Linked DNA regions of Arabidopsis thaliana. The protein of the gene in region 1 purifies or fractionates together with the protein of each later gene. This does not show direct contact. Each region holds a gene or a part of one and is shown in the gene's direction. Other genes may lie near its edges. The genes, in order: HDA15, CDPK6, CPK20 and MKK5.

Evidence for each region.
Region 2: the proteins of HDA15 (region 1) and CDPK6 purify together in Arabidopsis thaliana (affinity purification with mass spectrometry, with the first as the bait; one study listed by BioGRID). This does not show direct contact.
Region 3: the proteins of HDA15 (region 1) and CPK20 purify together in Arabidopsis thaliana (affinity purification with mass spectrometry, with the first as the bait; one study listed by BioGRID). This does not show direct contact.
Region 4: the proteins of HDA15 (region 1) and MKK5 purify together in Arabidopsis thaliana (affinity purification with mass spectrometry, with the first as the bait; one study listed by BioGRID). This does not show direct contact.

The regions. Positions count from the first base shown.
Region 1 is NC_003074.8:6,359,660-6,366,147, forward strand, and holds HDA15 (histone deacetylase 15), read left to right. Parts: upstream 1-1,516; 5' UTR 1,517-1,635; intron 1,636-1,893; 5' UTR 1,894-1,945; coding exon 1,946-2,080; intron 2,081-2,174; coding exon 2,175-2,360; intron 2,361-2,487; coding exon 2,488-2,590; intron 2,591-2,706; coding exon 2,707-2,771; intron 2,772-2,910; coding exon 2,911-2,986; intron 2,987-3,305; coding exon 3,306-3,370; intron 3,371-3,472; coding exon 3,473-3,528; intron 3,529-3,692; coding exon 3,693-3,816; intron 3,817-3,926; coding exon 3,927-4,052; intron 4,053-4,168; coding exon 4,169-4,219; intron 4,220-4,332; coding exon 4,333-4,401; intron 4,402-4,619; coding exon 4,620-4,728; intron 4,729-4,871; coding exon 4,872-4,951; intron 4,952-5,053; coding exon 5,054-5,136; coding exon of another isoform or gene 5,137-5,164; exon of another isoform or gene 5,165-5,217; coding exon 5,218-5,263; exon of another isoform or gene 5,264-5,344; coding exon 5,345-5,523; coding exon of another isoform or gene 5,524-5,527; exon of another isoform or gene 5,528-5,598; coding exon 5,599-5,740; 3' UTR 5,741-5,956; and 1 more. Other genes in the region: RTFL20 (ROTUNDIFOLIA like 20), read left to right, coding at 476-637. UniProt on the Arabidopsis thaliana protein: Responsible for the deacetylation of lysine residues on the N-terminal part of the core histones (H2A, H2B, H3 and H4).
Region 2 is NC_003075.7:12,324,215-12,329,444, reverse strand, and holds CDPK6 (calcium-dependent protein kinase 6), read left to right. Parts: upstream 1-1,793; 5' UTR 1,794-2,029; coding exon 2,030-2,439; intron 2,440-2,683; coding exon 2,684-2,970; intron 2,971-3,049; coding exon 3,050-3,193; intron 3,194-3,284; coding exon 3,285-3,437; intron 3,438-3,527; coding exon 3,528-3,643; intron 3,644-3,744; coding exon 3,745-3,912; intron 3,913-3,980; coding exon 3,981-4,108; intron 4,109-4,195; coding exon 4,196-4,295; intron 4,296-4,394; coding exon 4,395-4,478; 3' UTR 4,479-4,687; downstream 4,688-5,230. Other genes in the region: PPT1 (polyprenyltransferase 1), read left to right, coding at 104-173, 260-409, 518-583, 873-1,008, 1,100-1,196, 1,290-1,359; TRH1 (Potassium transporter family protein), read left to right, coding at 5,154-5,156. UniProt on the Arabidopsis thaliana protein: May play a role in signal transduction pathways that involve calcium as a second messenger. Functions in abscisic acid (ABA) regulation of guard cell S-type anion- and Ca(2+)-permeable channels and stomatal closure.
Region 3 is NC_003071.7:16,244,388-16,249,749, reverse strand, and holds CPK20 (calcium-dependent protein kinase 20), read left to right. Parts: upstream 1-1,894; 5' UTR 1,895-2,266; coding exon 2,267-3,131; intron 3,132-3,211; coding exon 3,212-3,355; intron 3,356-3,434; coding exon 3,435-3,587; intron 3,588-3,675; coding exon 3,676-3,791; intron 3,792-3,872; coding exon 3,873-4,040; intron 4,041-4,134; coding exon 4,135-4,359; intron 4,360-4,455; coding exon 4,456-4,536; 3' UTR 4,537-4,844; downstream 4,845-5,362. Other genes in the region: AT2G38920 (SPX (SYG1/Pho81/XPR1) domain-containing protein / zinc finger (C3HC4-type RING finger) protein-like protein), read left to right, coding at 1-184, 280-531, 627-764, 865-923, 1,225-1,330; AT2G38905 (Low temperature and salt responsive protein family), read left to right, coding at 5,278-5,358.
Region 4 is NC_003074.8:7,443,718-7,449,005, forward strand, and holds MKK5 (MAP kinase kinase 5), read left to right. Parts: upstream 1-1,886; 5' UTR 1,887-2,199; coding exon 2,200-3,246; 3' UTR 3,247-4,270; intron 4,271-4,322; downstream 4,323-5,288. Other genes in the region: AT3G21215 (RNA-binding (RRM/RBD/RNP motifs) family protein), read right to left, coding at 128-242, 359-488, 686-761, 841-1,020, 1,344-1,514; 4CL5 (4-coumarate:CoA ligase 5), read right to left, coding at 4,514-4,633, 4,725-4,827, 4,907-5,120, 5,214-5,288. UniProt on the Arabidopsis thaliana protein: Mitogen-activated protein kinase kinase (MAPKK) which regulates abscisic acid (ABA) responses in a MAPKKK20-MKK5-MPK6 cascade involved in root growth (e.g. root cell division and elongation) and stomatal response, probably via MAPK6 activation by protein phosphorylation.

The DNA.
Region 1 (6,488 bases):
CCGAAAGCTCCTTGGAATTTGCATTTTATGTATTTATTTAGCAGTTAACCATAACGTTAGTTTGCATGTTCAATTTAAATTCAAAGAAATTAAGATGAGATATGGACGGTCTGCAATACCGTATGTTCTAACATAATATTCCAATAATCAAAGTGAATAAATCAATCTCTACCGATGATGAATCTTTGAACTGAAAGGAGACAAGAAAACAATACATCAAATATTTTCAACCATAATGGGAAGCTAGTCGGTCACACTTCACAAAGTGGCCTTTATTTTTGGGTTGTTTCGTTGAAGGGTCCCGAATCAATGGTAGGGAATACTTTCTCCTTATCTCTTTCTCTCTCACTCCAATATATATAATATGATGAATCTTCACTTCCATTTAAACATCACACAATCATCACACAATCACCCTGAATCCCTGATAATAAGGAAAAACAAAAAAGTTTGTTTTATAAACACACTTTAAACAATGAGGGAGAAGTACACAAAGGAGGAAGCAGTGAAGAATTGGGAGAAGAAGAAGAACAAGCCTTCTTCACCAAAAGGAGTTGGAGAGTTTCTGAAAAAGAAGAAAGGAAGGTTCTACATTATTGGAAAATGTATTACTATGCTTCTTTGTTCACACAAGTGATAGTCAACACACATTTTTTCATACATATTTATGTTATCATGTATAGGTATAGATGATGATAGAGGTATAAAAAGGAGAGAGAGCTCAACATATTTACATCTTTAACATTTCGGTGTTCATCTCTCATTTTATGTGGGTGTGTTCTTGTTGTCGTCGTCGTTGTTATATATGGAAATATATCACTCAATATTCTTCTTGTGAACTATATATATAACGGAATACTATCTCCCATAGTCCCATGTTTGTAGAATTAATATTAATGTATGAATAATAAATTCTTAGAGAAAAGACAAAGACGATGCTTTTGAGTACTATATGGAGATGCATGCACACAAACATGTATTATATAACAAAGAAATTGGATTCAGTACTTACAGTTAGAATTAGGTTAAGGTAAAAGAAAAAGGTAAGGGAAACAAATATCAGTCTCACATGTGTTAATGCGCTTGGGCGTATTTTGATTATGTTAGCTGGTCATTATCAGTTAGTTTAACCATTAGTCATTCTACAATCTGTAGTGTGACGTTTAATTACCTGATGATTCAAACATTTTTCACTATAAATATTATGAAGTTATCAGTTAGGTTATTTACCAAACAAAAATTCAATGACATAACAACTAAAGTCTCATTCCCTTTAAAAAATGGTAACTTTTGTAATCCATTTCGAGAAGACAACAAACCTAAATTGGCTTTGTGAAGTAAGATTCAGTCGTACTTTGCTCTTTCAATACTTGAACATTAATGAAAAATTCCAAGCAAAAGGAAATAAAAATAAATAGTTTGACTCAAATTTGGTAATGGGCTTATAGTGTTATTGGGTCTTCATCTTCAGCCCAAATAATCTTTTACTCTTTCAAGTCTGAACGTCGTCATCTTCGTTGTCGCCGTCGTCGTTTCTCTCATTTCTGCTCTGTTGTGCTATCGTAGCGTCGCGCTCCTTTAAACGCGACGGACGCAGCCTTCTCTGTTCATCGTTTCGCCGGAAGTTTTCTTCAGGTATGATATTTTGAGACCGTCGTTGATATTTTTATTCAGTTTCCATAGAGAAAAAAAAACAATTCCTGAGTTCTGGATCGAGGATCGATTTCGATAATACTCGAAGAAAAGTTGGGTTCTTCGTAAAGTTATTTGTTGTAGCTGTGTGTGGAGTTCTTTACATTTTCTTCGATTTTGATTTTAGCTCTTCGTATATGAAACTTTTTGATTTTTAAAATTTCTCAAATTGGGTTTTTCTTTGTTTCTCTTTTGGCACAGCGGAGATTTATTTTCAGCTGGTTAGTAGTTTTGAGTGACTACTGAGGTAACAATGGTTGTAGAAACTATCGAGAGGTCTTGTGAGGGTTCAAAGAGAAGACATGTGAACGGTGGAGATATCGCTGTTCCTTGTTCGGGAGAAGAGTGTAGCAATGGAGATATAAATGTAGCTCCTGGAGTTTCAGCGGTAAGCTAAAAACCATGGCTTCCTTTTAATGTATTGTCAGAGATTTGGTTGGTTCTGCTTTTGGTGATATTGGTCATTGTTGTGTCTTATGCAGAAAAGAGCTAGGGTTTCTAGAGAAATGACGTTTGAAGATATTTACGGTGCTGATGCATTACTCAATGATGACGATGATGAGGATGATGATTGTGATTGGGAACCTGTGCAGGCGCCTATGGAGTTTGTAAAATGGTGTTGTGTCAATTGCACTATGTCGAACCCTGGTGATATGGTCCACTGTTGTGTACGTTTTTTATTTACTTTTTCTTGCTTGGCTACTACTTTTTATGATTTCAAAGTGACAAACGTACGTCTGAGCAATGCGCATTGGACATTGGTTATGTATTAGTAAAGTTGATTCCTTGACGTAGATATGCGGTGAGCACAAGGAATCTGGCATTTTGAGGCATGGATATTTAGCGTCTCCCTTTTTTAAAGACACTGGTCTCATTGAAGTCGAGGAGAAATATGGAGGTAGGAATTACTTCCCTTGCTTCCTCTGAAAATGTCTTTATAAATATTGTTAGTCTCAGTTCCATGCTATTTAAGTAACTGTAAGCATGTTCACTTTTCTTTTAACTTGATATTAGGAAGCTCATCTGCAACCAGCTCGACAGCTGTTGGGTTCGACGAGAGAATGTTGCTACACTCAGAAGTATGATCTTGTTACTGTTATGTGTTATGTTTTCCTGAGAAACCTCTAGTATCTGTTGACATCTCTACATTATCATCTCCAAAGCTTTTCTTCGTGCAAGTTTTTCTATTTAATATGTGCTGATGGCATGCTTAAAAAGTTTGAAGTGAAGGCACAACCACATCCAGAGAGACCTGATCGTCTTCGAGCTATAGCTGCTAGTCTTGCCACAGCTGGTATGTTGCGTTTACTTCCTTTAAACCTAGCCTCTCTTGAGAAGAAGACTAATGTTTGGAAGCTGATTATTATTAAGATTTGGAGATCATTATATAGATCTCTTGCAGCCGAGGTAAGTTAAAACTAAAAAGGAAAATAATAAAATTCTAATTCTAAAAGGAAAAGATCAGAACATAACTTCTTCAATTAAGAAGCTTCTAGCGTCCTTGTCTACCTTCTCTGAGACTTGATCCCATATATCATATCATGTGTTTCATTTTACAGTATCATACTGTTGGGAGTAATTTTGGTACTCACCACGTTTGAATTTTTTTGCAGGTGTTTTTCCTGGAAGATGCTTGCCTATCAATGCAAGGGAAATCACGAAACAAGAACTCCAGATGGTGAGCTGCTACATAACTGTCTTAGAGACAATTCTAATATTATGTTCATTGCAGTACTTTTACAAGCAATTTCATAACTGGTTTGTATATGTCAATTTTGAGGTCCACACTTCAGAGCATGTTGATGCTGTTGATACTACAAGCCAGCTTCTCTATAGGTTTGAATTTTAAACCATTTGTTACTTTTTTTTTTGCGTTCACCGTGCATATCCTTGCTTGTTAATCTGACTGTTCAAACTTGAATTGAAATTTCCTTTACCTTCGCTGCTCCTCATTTATCTCTTTTTGCTCTTGATCCCGTTCTTTTACCATTGTCTGGCAGCTACTTCACCTCTGACACATATGCTAATGAGTATTCAGCACGTGCTGCTAGACTTGCAGCAGGTTTGTGCGCTGATCTAGCTACAGATATTTTCACTGGCCGTGTAAAAAATGGTTTTGCTTTGGTATGTCTAATTCACCAAAATTTTTAAATTTAAAGATGCAACTACACAATTGCTTTAAATTGAAATTACACCATATTAGTTTGAAAAAAAAAAATCTCTGATTGTATCAGGTTAGACCTCCCGGTCATCATGCTGGCGTCAGGCATGCTATGGGGTTTTGCCTTCACAATAATGCAGCCGTTGCTGCATTAGTAGCACAAGCAGCAGGGGCAAAGAAGGTGCTGATTGTGGACTGGGTAATGTTACTGATAACTCTAAACTGGGTGATTTTGTAGATCTTCAAACTTTTTTAATTCGTTGTACTCTGCATTGTGTGGTTTGGCTCATATCAATGTTATATCTACCGTTGCAGGATGTCCATCATGGCAACGGAACCCAAGAGATATTCGAACAAAACAAATCTGTAAGCTGCCCAAATCTATGCATGTCTGCACATCAATTTTGGAGTGTTGGATGCAGTAAATTATTTTTGTGAGTTGACCTTGTTTGAACTTATTACTGGGAGTCATTGCATAGGTATTGTACATATCCTTGCACAGACATGAGGGAGGAAACTTCTATCCCGGTACTGGAGCTGCTGATGAGGTACCTATGCTTTTCTGTTTTACATTGTCTCATCCAGCATTCATGAGTAGATTTAGTTGTTGGTATATATATGCATATACCTTATTTGTGTGTTTGGTTTGCATTATGATTTATGTCTTAAATTTTGGGATTATTTTCTAATTTCTGCCTTGTTTCCAAAATTTGAATTTTCTCTAGGCGGCAGAACAATAGTTTGCTAATGTTAATTATGGGTGCAGGTTGGTTCTAATGGTGGGGAAGGTTATTGTGTAAATGTTCCATGGAGTTGCGGTGGAGTTGGGGATAAAGACTATATCTTTGCGTTTCAACATGTGGTTCTCCCCATAGGTACAGAGTCGTTCTACTTTTCCCCATTTGATAAACGTTTTGGCTTAATTGATGACTAATATGCTCAGGAAGTGGACCAAATACATTTAGCTCACTTTTGAATGTGCACTCAGTCTAATTTTAACTGGAACCTTCTCTTGCAGCTTCTGCATTTTCTCCAGATTTTGTCATCATATCTGCGGGATTTGATGCGGCTAGAGGAGACCCACTAGGATGCTGTGATGTAAGCTTCATATTCGAGCTGTAATTTACCACTTCTGGAATCAGTGTATTGTTTTGTGGATATCAACAGAGGATAGATGTTCTGTTCTACTCCTTTTTTCAGGTGACTCCGGCTGGCTATTCTCGAATGACACAGATGTTGGGTGATCTGTGTGGTGGGAAAATGCTAGTTATTCTCGAGGGCGGGTATGTGTTTTGCAGTTTTTTGGAGTAGCCTCTTGGTTTGTAAGGAGCAGCTTTTGAATAATCTCCTGTTTTCATTTGCAGCTACAATCTTCGCTCCATATCTGCTTCTGCAACAGCAGTGATCAAGGTTAGTCTCTATTTCAAACTTGATATCCTTTAAAATCTGCATATAGTTATGGAGATTCATGATCCCGCTTAATCTATAAAGGTGCTTCTGGGTGAAAATCCGGAGAACGAGTTGCCCATCGCCACCACGCCTTCAGTAGCCGGCCTGCAAACTGTTCTTGATGTACTGAATATCCAACTGGAGTTCTGGCCATCACTTGCTATCAGCTACTCCAAATTACTCTCAGAGTTGGAAGCACGTCTGATCGAAAACAAAAGTGAGTGATGCTTCCCAAAAAAAAAACTATTTCATTCTTCATCCTTCTTTCTCCTAATAAAATCTCACTGGTTTTACAGAAAATCAGATGAAAAGGAAGGTTGTTCGGGTTCCGACATGGTGGAAATGGGGACGAAAGAAGCTTTTGTACAACTTTCTCTCGGCTCGTATGATTTCAAGATCAAAGTGATTTTAGAAAGCATTCTTCCTAATCCGTCGTAGGAATTGTCTACACTTACTTGTAACCCTAACTGATCTGGGGGAATTTATTGCAATTAGGGAGCTCTGAACAATCTTTATCACTTACATTTGGTAGGGTTTTATAGAAAGAACCCTTTTAACCTGCTTACCAACCATCCTCATCAGACCTCTTAAGCTAGGCAATCGGTTTGGATAAACGAATTCCTACTTTAACCAAATTTATAGTTCGGTTTGGTTTATCTTAAAATTATTGATGTCGAACCAAACCAAAAACAAATTTCTTGTTCATTTCTCGGTGTCCAAAATCCTCATTTTCCAATAATTCCGGTATATTCTTTTTGGTTTTGGTATATTTCAATCAATTTCAGTATATTTGACACAGTTTGATACGGCTAGGAAATTTGATTTACAAAAAAGAAAAAAGTAGAAGAATTTAAGAATATTTAGAAATTTATGAAAAACTAAAAGAGCTTCTAAATACGGATATGTTCAATCTTCCAAAACCAAACAAAACAGTTTTGTCGGTATTTTGAACCAAATCTAATTACCAAAATTTTGGCACTGTTCGGCTAAGAATATTAGTCCAGCTCTATTAAATAAGAACTTTCGAATAATCGCTTCGATTCAGATTAATTCTTTCTGATTTTAGGTAGATAGAGGGGCTATCGGTTAATTTCGATTATGAACTAGCTGAATTTTTGTAAATCAACCACATTTTATTTAATCATATGTTTGTTTTCTAAGAGAATTTGAATCTAAAAAACCTTGT
Region 2 (5,230 bases), on another chromosome or scaffold:
TGTAGTTGGCCCAAATTCTGAAGATATGTTCTCAGGTCTTGTCTTTAGTTTTGTGATCAAATTCTTTTCTACTTGAGCTCATTTCAGTATGTATATTCTGCAGCCGTGTTTTAGGGGCTTCATCTTTGTTACTTGTCTTTTCCTACCCACTTATGAAGAGGTTTACATTTTGGGTAATTTAAATCTATTCTGGCTTCTCAAAGTTAGACATTATATATTTTCTGATTTTCTTATGATTGATTCGTTTTTATAATTGCAGCCTCAAGCCTTTTTAGGTTTGACCATAAACTGGGGAGCATTGTTAGGATGGACTGCAGTTAAAGGAAGCATAGCACCATCTATTGTACTCCCTCTCTATCTCTCCGGAGTCTGCTGGACCCTTGTTTATGATACTATTTATGCACATCAGGTATATTCACTTTTTATTTTTTAGCTTCAAAATCTATTTGATTATGACCAGTAGCAAAGTAGTTAATCTCAATGTGTGCATATTGCTTGCTTTGTTTTCTTTTTCTAGCTTCACCACCACAGATTTCTTTTTCAGCTTTTGTTTCATGTCTCATGCAAATGCATCCATTTCGATGTTCGACTTTTGTCAATCATAAAGAAGAAAATTACCCTGATCTCCCACCTTTTCCATCTGATTTCTATACTTTAAGTGAAGAGTTAGCCCCATAAAAGTCTTCCCGTTTGCAACAGAAGTGAGAAAAGAAAGTTACCTTTGTGGCCCATTGAAAATGAAATAGTATATGCCACAAGCTACGAACCCAAAATTTCAGCTCAAGTTCAGTTTTTATGCAAGTAATTTTGAGATATTCTAGGTTAAATCATTTTTTTTCCATGGACTAATGTCTAATATATTGTGTCTCCAGGACAAAGAAGATGATGTAAAAGTTGGTGTTAAGTCAACAGCCCTTAGATTCGGTGATAATACAAAGCTTTGGTTAACTGGATTTGGCACAGCATCCATAGGTTTTCTTGCACTTTCTGGATTCAGTGCAGATCTCGGTACTCAATAAACTTTACAAGGACTCATTTGTGATTCCTAATTCCATTTACTGTCTTTTGATTCTTTTTGTTTCTCGCTCTAATGATTAAGGGTGGCAATATTACGCATCACTGGCCGCTGCATCAGGACAGTTAGGATGGCAAATAGGGACAGCTGACTTATCATCTGGTGCTGACTGCAGTAGAAAGTATGAAAATTTGGGTTTATCTTTTGTACTCTTTCACAATCCAATTATGTGATTTGCCTTGGAAAACCTAATAGTGTTTTTATATCTGTACAGATTTGTGTCGAACAAGTGGTTTGGTGCTATTATATTTAGTGGAGTTGTACTTGGAAGAAGTTTTCAATAAAGACTCTCTCTCTGTCAACGAATGAGGATGAAGCTGTAGTGTGAGGAACCTATATATGAAGAATTGAAGTAGACTTTTGAGACACACTGTAAGTGAAACAGAGGACATGGTCTTGCTACAAAGTGGGTCTCCTTCAGGATTGAAATGATCAAGGAGCCATTGCCAGAAAAGCTGAAACTTAACTCTTTTAGATTAGTGACTAGTTACTACTGGTTCTTGTAAAAGAAGCTATTGTTGTTGTTTGGGATCCATGTCTTTTCTTCCAGGAGGTAGTTTGGCTGTATGTATACAATGATCATGACCTTCTGGTCAAACAAGAGGCTTTACTTTTGGCTTTTATAGTTGACATACGCAATATCATTGATTTTGTAACCTAAAGGATGTTAATAACTTTTCCTTTTTCAATCTCAAATTGCAAAAGATTAACATTGAATTAGCCGTGTGATTGATTGGAGAAGTGGAAACAACTAATATGCAGAAGATTTCCACATCCACTAATTTATCTTCCAATGGGACAAATACTTTTGTTTATACGCGGTTCAACTACGTACCAATAAAAACACGCCACGTGGTCATCGTGTCTGATCTCAGACATTAAAAAGCCATAAGAATCGGAGATACAATCTTTCTCTCTCGATTGACTTTATTGACTGAGAGAAAGCTTTTGACAATGGGCCACAGACACAGCAAGTCCAAATCCTCCGATCCGCCACCGTCCTCCTCCTCCTCTTCCTCCGGCAACGTAGTCCACCATGTTAAACCTGCCGGAGAACGCCGCGGATCATCCGGTTCCGGAACCGTCGGATCGTCAGGCTCCGGAACAGGCGGATCTCGTTCCACCACATCTACTCAGCAGAATGGTCGGATCTTAGGTCGGCCGATGGAGGAAGTACGGAGAACCTATGAGTTTGGTCGTGAGCTTGGTCGTGGCCAGTTTGGTGTCACGTACCTCGTAACTCACAAAGAGACGAAACAACAGGTCGCTTGCAAGTCAATCCCTACGCGCCGCCTTGTTCACAAAGACGACATTGAAGATGTTCGCCGTGAAGTCCAGATTATGCACCATCTCAGCGGTCACCGGTAAATCTCTTTTTTTGTATCTCACTGGAAAATGCTTCTTTGACATTTTCCGAAATCGAATCTGAAACGCCTTTTGTTGGAATATTGGTGAATATTTAGACATAGGATTCGTTTTCTATATTAATGAATGGTTTGCATCATATGTGGATGAAAAGTTTGGTGGTCCTATGTTAAACTCTTGAAAAAGTTTCCCTTTTTGCATATTTATATTTACCTGAGTTTCAAATTGGTGAGTTGATTATAGGAACATAGTGGACTTGAAGGGAGCCTACGAGGACAGACACTCTGTGAATCTGATAATGGAGTTGTGTGAAGGAGGGGAATTGTTCGATAGGATCATTTCTAAAGGTCTTTACTCAGAGAGAGCTGCTGCGGATTTGTGTAGGCAGATGGTGATGGTTGTGCATAGTTGTCATTCTATGGGTGTAATGCACCGAGACTTGAAGCCCGAAAACTTTCTCTTTCTTAGTAAAGATGAGAACTCACCATTGAAAGCTACAGACTTTGGTCTCTCTGTCTTCTTCAAGCCAGGTTTGAACAGCCTCTATCCTTCCCTATTTGATTTCTATAGACAATTTATCCCTCTAATGAAGTTGATCCATTAATGCAGGTGATAAGTTTAAGGATCTTGTTGGAAGTGCATACTATGTTGCCCCAGAAGTTCTAAAACGGAACTATGGACCAGAGGCTGATATCTGGAGTGCTGGTGTGATTCTATACATCCTTCTCAGTGGTGTTCCGCCTTTCTGGGGAGGTATTGTCTTGATCTTATTTGAGAAGAGAATTTGGTTTCACTGTTTAAATGTTGGACTGGAATGTATAGTCACGTTCTTTCTGTTGTGCAGAAAATGAAACGGGGATCTTTGATGCCATTCTTCAAGGGCAACTTGATTTTTCAGCTGATCCATGGCCAGCACTATCAGATGGTGCCAAAGATCTTGTGAGGAAAATGTTAAAATATGACCCTAAAGATCGGCTTACAGCTGCGGAAGTGCTAAGTAAGACCCCTTTATAACATGTTTTGATGAATAAATTGATGAAAACACCTTCTTTTATCCAATTTTAATAACGTTTTGATACATACGCAGATCATCCGTGGATTAGAGAAGATGGGGAGGCATCAGACAAACCGCTTGACAATGCGGTGTTATCCAGGATGAAACAATTCCGGGCGATGAACAAACTAAAAAAAATGGCCCTGAAGGTAATTAAAACACTGATTGAAACAGTCTTACCATCACTATTGTAGTTTATGTAGTCTTCTTGTTCTAAAGCCAATCTTTGGTTTTCGTTTTGCAATTTCAGGTTATCGCTGAGAACCTTTCTGAAGAAGAAATCATTGGTCTTAAAGAGATGTTCAAATCTCTAGACACTGATAACAATGGAATAGTCACCTTGGAGGAATTGAGAACCGGTCTCCCAAAACTTGGTTCAAAGATCTCTGAAGCTGAAATAAGGCAGTTAATGGAAGCAGTAAGTCTATCACAATCCACTACTTTGATGTCAAAGCAATAATGCTTATGATGCTTTGTTTCTTTTAGGCTGATATGGATGGAGATGGATCAATTGATTACTTGGAGTTTATATCAGCCACAATGCATATGAACAGAATCGAACGTGAGGATCACTTGTACACCGCATTCCAGTTCTTTGACAATGACAACAGCGGGTAAAACATTGTTCTTTAGCTCTCTATTTCTTTCTTTAACAAGCTATAAATAAAGTCTCACTCTTTGATCTTGATTTGTGATATTAGCTACATAACAATGGAAGAGCTAGAGCTAGCCATGAAGAAATACAACATGGGTGATGATAAATCCATCAAAGAGATCATTGCTGAAGTAGACACCGATCGTGTAAGTATACGTAAATCTCTGGTTTCGTCCAATTCATACATCTGTAAGTATACGTGTAAGTTTAACACTCTCTTCTCATCTTTGTATTCGAATCTTTAGGACGGAAAAATCAACTACGAAGAATTTGTAGCGATGATGAAGAAGGGAAATCCAGAATTGGTGCCAAACCGACGCAGAATGTGAGAGATCTTTTGATGTTGTTTGTTTGTTTTTGGTTATCACTTTACTCAAACTTTGTGTTTCTGTTACAATCAATTATTTTGTTTCCTGCAATCTCTTTTTATCAACACAACATAAAAAATACTTTGAGATCAGAAAGCCATTTGCAGGTTTGGTTAATGACTTATGAGAGATTCAATATATAATAATTACAGGTTGATTCTTGCATGATTTGAAGCTGAAATTCACTTAAAAAATTATAGAATGATAATCTTAACCCTTACAAACAAATTTGAGATTATATCTAATCAAGGCAATAAAAAAATAAGCAAGGTGCAGTAGGAGGGATTAGAAGTTTCAAATCCGATTTTTATACATGAAAAATGACGAAATCTAATAATCTTGGTGACATTTTCTCACAGAGAAATCGGACAACTAAAATGAGTAAAAAAAATTAAAAGAACGAATAAAAAATCAACTGAGATATATATAAAAAAAAAACTGGAAGAAGAAGAAGGACCGCGAGCTTTGGATCGAATTTGTTAAATTTTTCTTCTCTCGATAATAAAAACAACAAATGATCGTTGATCGTTTTTCTCTAGATTCGATTCCGATTCCAAAGAACTAGTCTCCGGCGTGTAATCTCTGATCGTTGAAGATCCAAGCTACGCCGCATCTTACTCGCCGGCGGCTTGAATCATGGTATGTCGCTCCCTTCTCTCGACCGATACGTCGGAAATCTTAAACCCCTAGATTCCTTATTGCTACTCCTGCGG
Region 3 (5,362 bases), on another chromosome or scaffold:
CAGGTCAAGAGTGAGGCATCTTCTCCATCTTCATGTAGCCACTGGGATGCAGAGATACATGATTCGCCTACGCAGATGCTTCACTGACGAAAAACAAGCTTTAGTCCAAGAGGGCCAAATCTTGATTCAATACATCACCATGAATGCAATTGCTATCCGTAAAATCCTCAAGAAATATGACAAGGTTAGAGATTATGGCAAAGATAATAATTCATTTTAAAATAAGAAGATGTGACTTCATTTGTTGTGAGAAAGTAAACTGCTTAAAAATGCTTTCAGGTGCATAGCTCAGAGAATGGGAAGAATTTCAAGTTGAAAATGCGAGCGGAGCGCATAGAGCTCTTGCACTCACCATGGCTCATAGAACTTGGAGCCTTTTATCTCAACTCTGGGCTAGATAATGTTGGAAACTTCAAGAATTCGTTTGGCCGTGTCGCTTGTGAAAATCTCAACGAAGATCAACCAGTGCTAAAACTCATGCTGCCTAACTCAATAGAGCTGGAGTATGATCTAACTTGTGCAATCTGCCTCGTAATAAAAAATCTCTTTGCATTTTTTCACAAATAAAATGTAGTTTGCATATCTGGAGGTGAAAATAGTAATTTGTTGTGGATAAATTTGGGCAGGAAACGGTATTCAATCCCTATGCTTTAAAGTGCGGTCACATATTTTGTAACTCGTGTGCATGCTCGGCTGCTTCTGTATTGATTTTCCAAGGCATTAAAGCAGCGCCCCGACATTCAAAATGTCCCATCTGCAGAGAGGTTTGTTTAGATTCTTGCAACATTAAACGTGTTCTTCTCTCAACTTTTGTTTCCAATATCTATAATGAGGTCAATCTTGATTTATTCCTTGCGGTATCAGGCTGGAGTTTACGCGGAAGCAGTTCACATGATCGAGCTGCATCTTCTTTTAAAGACACGGTAAGACAAGTCTCAAATTTTAGATTGCACCAAATCAGTATAGATGTGTCCATAAAATTTGAACTGATGATTATTATCATTCATATAGCAAGATGGTGTTTTCATTCGTTAAGTAACTAGAAAATGAAGTTGCGATCGAATTTTTGTTCTTAATTTTTTTTTTAAGTTTTGAAGTCGTTATGAGTGAGCCTTTCATAAACATCTGAATATATTCTTGGGGTGGTATATATTGTTCAAACTGTATTTATATTGCAAGAATTATTAATGTCATATGATGAAAGCATAATATATTTTTTTGTAGAAGCAAAGAATATTGGAAGGAGAGGATGATGAATGAACGGTCTGAGATGGTGAAGCAGTCGAAGATGTTTTGGAATGAACAGACGAAGCATATGATCGGTTATTAATGGTGTATCTCTTCAAGTTCAATTATTAACTTCATCTAAACAAAAGGTGATGACAAAAAAAAAGATATATTACTTTTATTTGTTTCTGCCGTGCCCGAGACATTACAGATTCGAGAGAGAATCATAATTAGGAGAGGTTTATTTTATTTTTTTTCTTTGGTGAGACATAAATCGAGTTGTGTTTAAATACTTTTTTGTGTTGTTTAAGATGTTATTGGATGTTGTTCCTTATTAATTGTTTAAAAGACAAGTCAATAGATTACACACGTTCATCAGTTCATGTCTATATACATCACAAGTTTCAGAATTTTACTTTAGATAAACAAAATTTCTTCTTATTGTATATTTTCTTCAATCAAAATATTTATTAACTAAATCCTTCGCAGTTAATTCCCTACAATATAATCACTCAACGTTATATATTTTTTCAAAAAAATTAATTAATTGTTAAAAATTAAAAGACAAAAAGAAATTGTTTTTGATAAAAGTGAGTCCTAGTCTAAAATTGGGCTCTGTAAAAAAACTTTCCATATTTTCTCGTAAAAATGGACGGCAATGGCATAGTCCTTTCCTTGTTCTCTCTCGTTCCTTCTTCCCCTCCTCTGATCATCAGCTCATCAGATCTTCTCCGAATCAAATCATTTAGCCACATTTTACAATTCCAAGACGTTTCTCGACCATTTTGTATCCGGAAAACGTGCAGAACAAGGTTGCTTGCGAGCGACTTAGGTGGTCAATTCATTATCTCAGGTTTTCACCGAGCTGTGTCGATTTTGAAGACACGGCAATATTCTATATGGATTCATCATTCACGTTGATGACGCTAATGAGTGGTTCGTGTTTTCATTGTCGGAGAAGTAATAGATAATCTCAAACAGAGAGAAGAAAAAAAAAGAAGCAAAATTAGGTTTTGTGATTTTAGGTTAAATTTTTTGAATGGGAAACACATGCGTGGGTCCGAATCTGAACCCTAATGGATTCCTTCAATCCGTTAGTGCTGCCGTGTGGCGGAATCAGAAACCAGACGATAGCATTAAGAGCAGCAAGGACGAGAGCAGTCGAAAAAAGAACGATAAAAGCGTTAATGGCGACGACAGTAACGGTCACGTTTCCTCCACCGTGGATCCAGCACCATCCACGTTGCCAACACCGAGCACACCACCACCTCCGGTGAAAATGGCCAACGAAGAACCACCACCAAAACCTATCACAGAGAACAAAGAAGATCCGAATTCGAAACCGCAGAAGAAAGAAGCGCACATGAAACGTATGGCAAGCGCAGGTCTACAAATAGACTCAGTTCTTGGGAGAAAAACAGAGAATCTCAAAGATATATACAGTGTTGGGAGAAAATTAGGTCAAGGACAATTTGGAACAACGTTTCTTTGCGTGGATAAGAAGACAGGTAAAGAGTTCGCTTGTAAAACGATAGCTAAGAGGAAATTAACAACACCTGAGGATGTTGAAGATGTGAGAAGAGAGATTCAGATAATGCATCATTTGTCTGGTCATCCAAACGTGATTCAGATCGTTGGTGCGTATGAAGATGCAGTAGCTGTTCATGTTGTGATGGAGATTTGTGCAGGTGGAGAGTTATTTGATAGGATTATACAGAGAGGGCATTATACTGAGAAAAAAGCTGCTGAGCTTGCTAGGATCATTGTTGGTGTTATAGAAGCTTGTCATTCTTTAGGTGTAATGCACCGTGATCTTAAGCCTGAGAATTTTTTATTTGTTAGTGGAGATGAAGAAGCTGCTCTCAAGACTATTGATTTTGGCCTCTCTGTTTTCTTTAAACCAGGTATAGTATATGTCCCCAATGCTACTTTTAACAGATCCCATATACAATATGATCTTGACTATATATGTTGGTGATTACAGGAGAAACATTCACTGATGTCGTTGGTAGTCCTTATTATGTGGCACCAGAAGTTTTAAGGAAACATTATAGTCATGAATGTGATGTTTGGAGTGCCGGAGTTATTATTTACATTTTACTAAGTGGCGTCCCTCCGTTTTGGGATGGTAAGAGACAGTTGTTGATTCATTGTTTCAGGTATGTTGAAGTGATAAAGAGACTGATTGGATTGTGCTTATATGTCAGAAACGGAACAGGGGATCTTTGAGCAGGTTTTGAAAGGTGACCTTGATTTTATATCAGAACCATGGCCTAGTGTATCAGAAAGTGCCAAGGATTTGGTCCGTCGGATGCTAATCAGAGACCCTAAGAAGCGAATGACTACTCATGAAGTTCTCTGTTAGTGTTCTTGTTTCCAAATAAGTTATATCTTTTTGATAAGAGTAAGTACTATAAAGATTTGTAAAATGTTGAATTTATATTTTAGGTCATCCATGGGCCAGAGTAGATGGTGTTGCTCTTGATAAACCTCTTGATTCTGCTGTCCTAAGTCGTTTGCAACAATTTTCAGCCATGAACAAGCTCAAGAAAATAGCTATCAAGGTAAACATTTTGAATTGGTTTCTATCATCTATACCAAATTATGTGCAAGATAGAGAGTTATACGTGATGTATTTGATTCAGGTAATAGCAGAAAGCTTGTCAGAGGAAGAAATAGCAGGATTGAAGGAAATGTTCAAGATGATAGATACAGATAATAGTGGACACATCACTCTCGAAGAACTCAAGAAAGGTTTGGACAGAGTTGGTGCTGACCTTAAAGATTCAGAAATACTAGGATTAATGCAAGCAGTAAGTCCATTTTTATACTGAAATCACCTTTTGTTTACTATATGATGTGAGATGTGTGAGATAATAATTTGGAAAAATATGAACATTTGATCAGGCGGATATAGATAACAGTGGGACAATAGACTATGGAGAGTTTATAGCAGCAATGGTGCATTTGAACAAAATAGAGAAAGAAGACCATTTGTTCACAGCATTCTCTTACTTTGACCAAGATGGAAGTGGTTATATAACCAGAGACGAGCTCCAACAAGCTTGCAAGCAATTTGGCTTAGCGGATGTTCATTTAGACGACATTTTACGCGAAGTCGATAAAGACAACGTAACAACTCATTAATATGCAATTGATATGCTTTACCTATAGTTACTTGCAAGAACATTGTTCTTTATAATGATGTTATATGATTGTTTTTGTCAGGATGGAAGAATAGACTACAGCGAGTTTGTGGATATGATGCAAGACACTGGTTTTGGCAAAATGGGTTTAAAGGTGAGTTGAAGAAACAAAACCTCAATGACCCCATTTTTTCCAACACTTATTTTTTCTTTTCTCTTTTTAAGTATAATTTAATCTTTGTGGATATATGTATATGGGCTGCTTACTGCTTAGCATTAGCATTCTTGAGCAGGTTTTTGTCCTCTCTGTTCCACATTTTTTTTGTATTTAAGTTTCTCATGAGTCATGTCCTTTAACTCTCCCTTTACTCAACTAGGAGAAAAAATGTATAGGTTTCACTTTGGAAGATAACCAAAGATTGTAATTTCATTTTTCTTATATGTACTTTTAGTAGGTCAATGTAAAACTCTAGAAATTATTGAAAATGTTTATGTAAATTATTACACAATATCGATTTTAATATGTAAATCTAGTGAGTGATAAATTATTAATCTTTTCACAATAAAACTAAAAATTCTTTGAAAAGAGGGGATGGAGTAAACAGATTCGAATCATAAACATTAAAATGTTATCTTCTTGGCCTCTCAAAAAAGGAGAAATTGAAAATATCTGTGAGATTTCCGTGGAATTAGTGGAAGCAGTTTTGAAGTAAAGCAGTTTGTTTGACGTGTTCATCGCTACGAAAGCGTCTCCACGTGTCACGTGATACACTGCAAGCAGTACACGTGTCAAACACCACTTCTTTTACTTCTTGACCAAACTTTCACACCACTTCCCTTCTGTCCACAAAACCTCTCTTTCTTGTTTCTGTTTCTGTTTCTCTTCTTCTCCAAAACATCAAAAATGGGATCAGAAACTTTCTTGGAAATTATTCTGGCGATTCTTCTACCTCCCGTCGGCGTTTTCCTTCGATATGGTTGTGGGGTAA
Region 4 (5,288 bases), 1.1 Mb from region 1:
GCTAATTAGAATGAAGTTCGAGATTGTAATTTTTAGGCAAGGAGAGGCAAGTACAATATGGATTCCGGGTATATAATTGCACAACCACCATATGATAAATAAAATGATGAAAACAGTGCAACTTCACCTGGACAGGCACATAAGAACTAGGAGCTGCTATAGGTGGGGGCGTAGGCATTGGTACAGGGGGAGCATGATAACCTGCATAGGGATCATATGGTGGAGGTGCAGGTGCCATATATCTGAACCAATTTATCTTCTTGTCAAATAAGCAACTTAACATAAAACGGTGTACCAAATACACATCGTCCAATTTCTACACAGCATATGAAATATGAAGGAGAAGCAAATGCCTAACCCATGAGGAGGTCCCCACACAGGAGGAGGTGGAGGATGGAAAGGAGATGGACTATACACAGAGTGTGTGCAGTCACCACCAGTTCGTAGGCGCTTACTTTGATCATAAGCATTTGAATCCCCAACAATACCTACAGAATAAAGATTGAGTTCAAAGGTTATATATGGTTTGTGATATTAACAAAGGAAGTAAGAAACTAGATAAAGGGGAGAGTGTAGTGAGACCCCGTATAAATGCACAAAACTGTATCAAACATGCTTCAGTAACATGACTAATGCTTAAGATAGATAAAATACAGCCATTTTATGTCATAAAGGTAGAGCTAACCTCTTTTAACAAAAAGATTCTTCTTGGCCATCTCTGTATGTATCACAGACTTTGACTCAGCATCAAACACCATATGCTGCATGCCAAGAACAACATATGTCATAATGTGAAGACAAAAAAGGATCTGAGTCAACAATGATCAGAAGCAGACAGACCTGAAGGGTATCTTTGGCTGCCATTGCAAACTGAGCTGTGGAGAAAAGAGCAAACCCCATGGGCTTTTCTCCCTTGAAGTTCACCTGAGAAGCCTCGTAACCAGGCAACCATCTCAAGAGATTCAAAAGCTCTCTCTCTTTTACATCATCGGGAAGCCCTGCGATGAAGATTGTCCGCAGCTGAACAACAGATTCAAACTTGTGTAAGAGATCACGTTTTCCCAAAATCAGAAAACTCCAACTACATGACAAGATAAGAGAACCTTTCTCACTTATGCAACAGGTCATAAGTGAGATTTTAGTAACAAACTTAAAAATCATTCTTATCAAAAAGGTCATAACTTTGGACAATTTATCGATTCCGTAGCAAAATCAAGCTAACATTGTATATCAAAAAGCAGGCAAATTAAAACCTCAACGTAAACAAAAATCAAGCAAGCCCATCTCGACAACACAGCACAAGAATCACCGATATGTATAGAGAGAAAGAGAAAGAGTTGAACCTCGTCATAAGGAGGACGATTATGGTTGTCAACTAAAACAGGAGGAGGAGGAGGATGGTGATGAATGGGCGGCGGATGTGGTGGAGCAGCTGATGATACTGCGGCTGGAGGAGGCGGCGCACCTGCCGGCGGCCACTGCTGGTGGTATGGGTGGATTCCGGCGCCGGCCATGAGATAAAAAAAAAACCTAATTACTCAGAGAGTCAGAGATTGATTGTTCGAAAAAACTTCTGCGGAAGAATTGACGGCAAAGAAGGCAAACTTATTTTTTAAGTCACATGCATCGCACGTGAACACTGTACCACTTTAATTTTATTTCTTTCTTTTTCTGTTAAAAACTTTAAAAAGAAAATTAGTTTTTAATTTTTTTAGAATTATAATTACTTTAAGTTTTTCTTTTTTCAATTGTTTTTATTGGAAAGAAACTTTAATCTGTATTTTCTTACTTTCTAAAAATATTAAATACCTAACACCAAATTTATAGTATCTAAATCCACGATCTTAAACACTCTTAATGATATTATAATCCAATTCAGACCCGACCAAACAAAAAACATGGTTAACGTGTAACAACACAGAGCCACACAAGTGCGAGTGTATTCCACGCTCTTTCCATCAACGCGTACCTTCGTCTTACCATTTTAACTTTTTTTTTTTTTCTTGTTTCTTACAATCATTTTCACAAATCTCTTCGATGAAGCTTCATTCTCCTCTTGATTTGATCTCTTTGAAAAACGACGAATCAAACAAACCCTAGAGTCAAGTCAATCATGATGATAAATACAAACCTGGAAGATAAAGAATCAACCTTGTGAAAAAAAAAAAAAACTTTTGATTCCCTCTTCTTCTAAAAGCCATGAAACCGATTCAATCTCCTTCTGGAGTAGCTTCACCTATGAAGAACCGTTTACGCAAACGTCCTGACCTAAGCTTACCACTCCCACACCGCGACGTCGCTCTCGCCGTACCTCTCCCTCTCCCACCTCCTTCTTCCTCTTCATCCGCTCCGGCGTCTTCCTCCGCGATCTCAACCAACATCTCCGCCGCTAAAAGCTTATCCGAGCTAGAACGAGTGAACCGAATCGGAAGCGGAGCCGGAGGAACGGTTTACAAAGTAATCCACACTCCGACGTCACGTCCTTTCGCTCTCAAAGTGATTTACGGAAACCACGAAGATACCGTGAGACGTCAGATCTGTAGAGAGATCGAGATCTTAAGAAGTGTTGATCATCCAAACGTTGTGAAATGTCACGATATGTTTGATCATAACGGTGAGATCCAGGTTTTGCTTGAGTTTATGGATCAAGGATCTCTTGAAGGAGCTCATATATGGCAAGAACAGGAATTAGCTGATCTCTCTCGTCAGATTCTTAGTGGATTAGCTTATCTTCATCGTCGTCATATCGTTCATCGTGATATCAAACCTTCGAATCTTCTTATAAACTCAGCTAAAAATGTGAAAATTGCTGATTTTGGTGTGAGTAGGATCTTGGCACAAACAATGGATCCTTGTAATTCATCTGTTGGTACTATTGCTTATATGAGTCCTGAGAGGATTAATACTGATTTGAATCATGGTCGTTACGATGGTTATGCTGGAGATGTTTGGAGTTTAGGTGTTAGTATCTTGGAGTTTTACTTGGGGAGGTTTCCTTTTGCTGTGAGTAGACAAGGTGATTGGGCTAGTCTTATGTGTGCTATTTGTATGTCTCAGCCACCTGAAGCTCCGGCTACGGCGTCTCAGGAGTTTCGTCACTTTGTTTCTTGTTGTTTACAGAGTGATCCTCCTAAGAGATGGTCAGCTCAACAGCTTTTGCAGCATCCTTTCATACTTAAAGCTACCGGTGGTCCTAATCTCCGTCAAATGTTGCCGCCGCCTCGTCCTCTTCCTTCTGCCTCTTAGTGTTTCTACCATTTTCGTCTTTCTTGTTTTTCAATTTTTCGTAGTTTTTCCTGACATTTTTCCATAAGTTTTGCATACCCCAAGCAAAGATAATGAGAAGAGTAGAAGAACAATGTGGTTTGTGATTGGGGTATGAGTCGTCAGGAAGAAACTCAGTTTGTGGTTAGGGTTTATTGAGTCTTTATCTTATGCTGCTAAGCTTGATTTGTCTTATGGGTAATGAAGAATGTTTTGCTAGAAATGGAAACAAAAAAATAGACAAGAAGAATTCTTATGGTTTAAGAGTGATTTTAGCTGGATTTGCTTATATTATTGTTTATATAAGGAAGTAAATGGAGGATCTTTCATTGGATAATTCTCATTAATAAAGCTTCTTCCTTTAATTCTCTTTATGGTTTTCTAGTTTCCGTCTTGTGAACATTACAAAGGCTACCCTAGTGCCTACTGCGTTATTTTTTCTTTGCCAGTTATGGTCTAATTATTGCGGTAAAAGTTGAAAGCTTGTTTAGGAACTTTTGTTTGAACGAAATCATGTGATGCTCTTGCAATTGGTCAAATTCAGAAAGCTTTCATTTGGTTCCATCTTTGAGCATGCATCATGCATGTAAACATCAGCTATTCACCTTGTTTCTGCTTCTCGTTCTCTCTCTCTCTCTCTCTCTCTCTCTCCCAATGGTTTTGTGTTCAGTATCCGTCAAATTGCCTTGATGTTTTAGTGTGATTAGGAATGTAACTCTCAACTGTCCAGGTCAGATTCTAGGTTCTTCAGCATCTACTCAAAAAAGTCTACCTTATGGCTAGGAATCTAGCTCTCAAGTGTCCTATTGGTCTTGACTTCTAACCACATTAGACCTTTCCGCTGGGCGGCTGGGCCACGTCTTTCTCTGCAGGTTTGCTGAAGTTTGTGCTGATTGATTCACCTGAATACTTGAAGCATTCAGCTTGCAGAGGAGGATAACTTTGAGTGTGTGTCCCAGTACATAAGTCTACCCAGCGTAATCACTTCTCATTGTCGCTTTTGTGGGTATGTTTCTGTTCCTTAATTCTCTAAATTTATAATTCTTCTTAAGAAAATAGTGAAATGATGATTATAGGAAATGAATTTATGTTTCTGAGGGTAGCTTAGCTTTAGGTTTCCTAGATTTGTTGACTTTACATGATTGATCTCGTGAAAACCAAATCAAATACCAAATACTTGCTTCTTACTCCTTACTTCTTAGAGACTATAATGTTCGAATTTACACATACATTTGAAACTCTCTTGTGTCTATTTAGAGCACATGGTTTCCAATTTAGCTCGCAGATCCTTCCTCAGAATCTTGCCCGAAACTGCTTTTGGTATAACTTCTATGAAAAACACCATCTTAATCCGCTTGTAGTGAACCACCTATATAAACCATCACACCATTGATTTAAGACATAGACAGTTTTCCATCTTGTGTGTGTTTCGCATTGAAAAACCGAAAGCGAATTCGTACCTGTTTGTTTACGTAACTCTTGACATCATCTTCAGTTAACTGAGACCCTTGAGATCTTGCTACAAATGCTACTGGAACCTCATCAGCTACTTCATCCTTCATTCTGAAAATTCAAATATCATTAGAGACAACAACCATTTTAGTGTCTCAGTTTGGAAGTTTCAGATTTGTTTTGAACTCACGCAACAACTGCGGCATCATCGATAGAAGGATGAGAAATAAGCAATGCTTCAAGCTCAGCTGGAGCCACTTGGTAGCCTTTGAATTTGATCAGTTCCTTCAACCGATCAACAATGAAGATCTCATCATCATCATCCACAAACCCAATATCTCCTGTATGTAACCACCCGTCTTTGTCTATGGTTCGTGCAGTAGCTTCCGGATCATTCAAATAACCTAACAACATTGCACCATGTTTTCCCTATCAATGTTTATTCTCCCAAAGGAAAAAAAAGAAGGGACATAGCTTGATCGTTTGACCCTTTTTACCTTTCATGAGCTGATGACCTCGGACGCAGATCTCGCCAGATTTGTTGCGCGGCAAGGAGATTCCGGTTTCGGTAT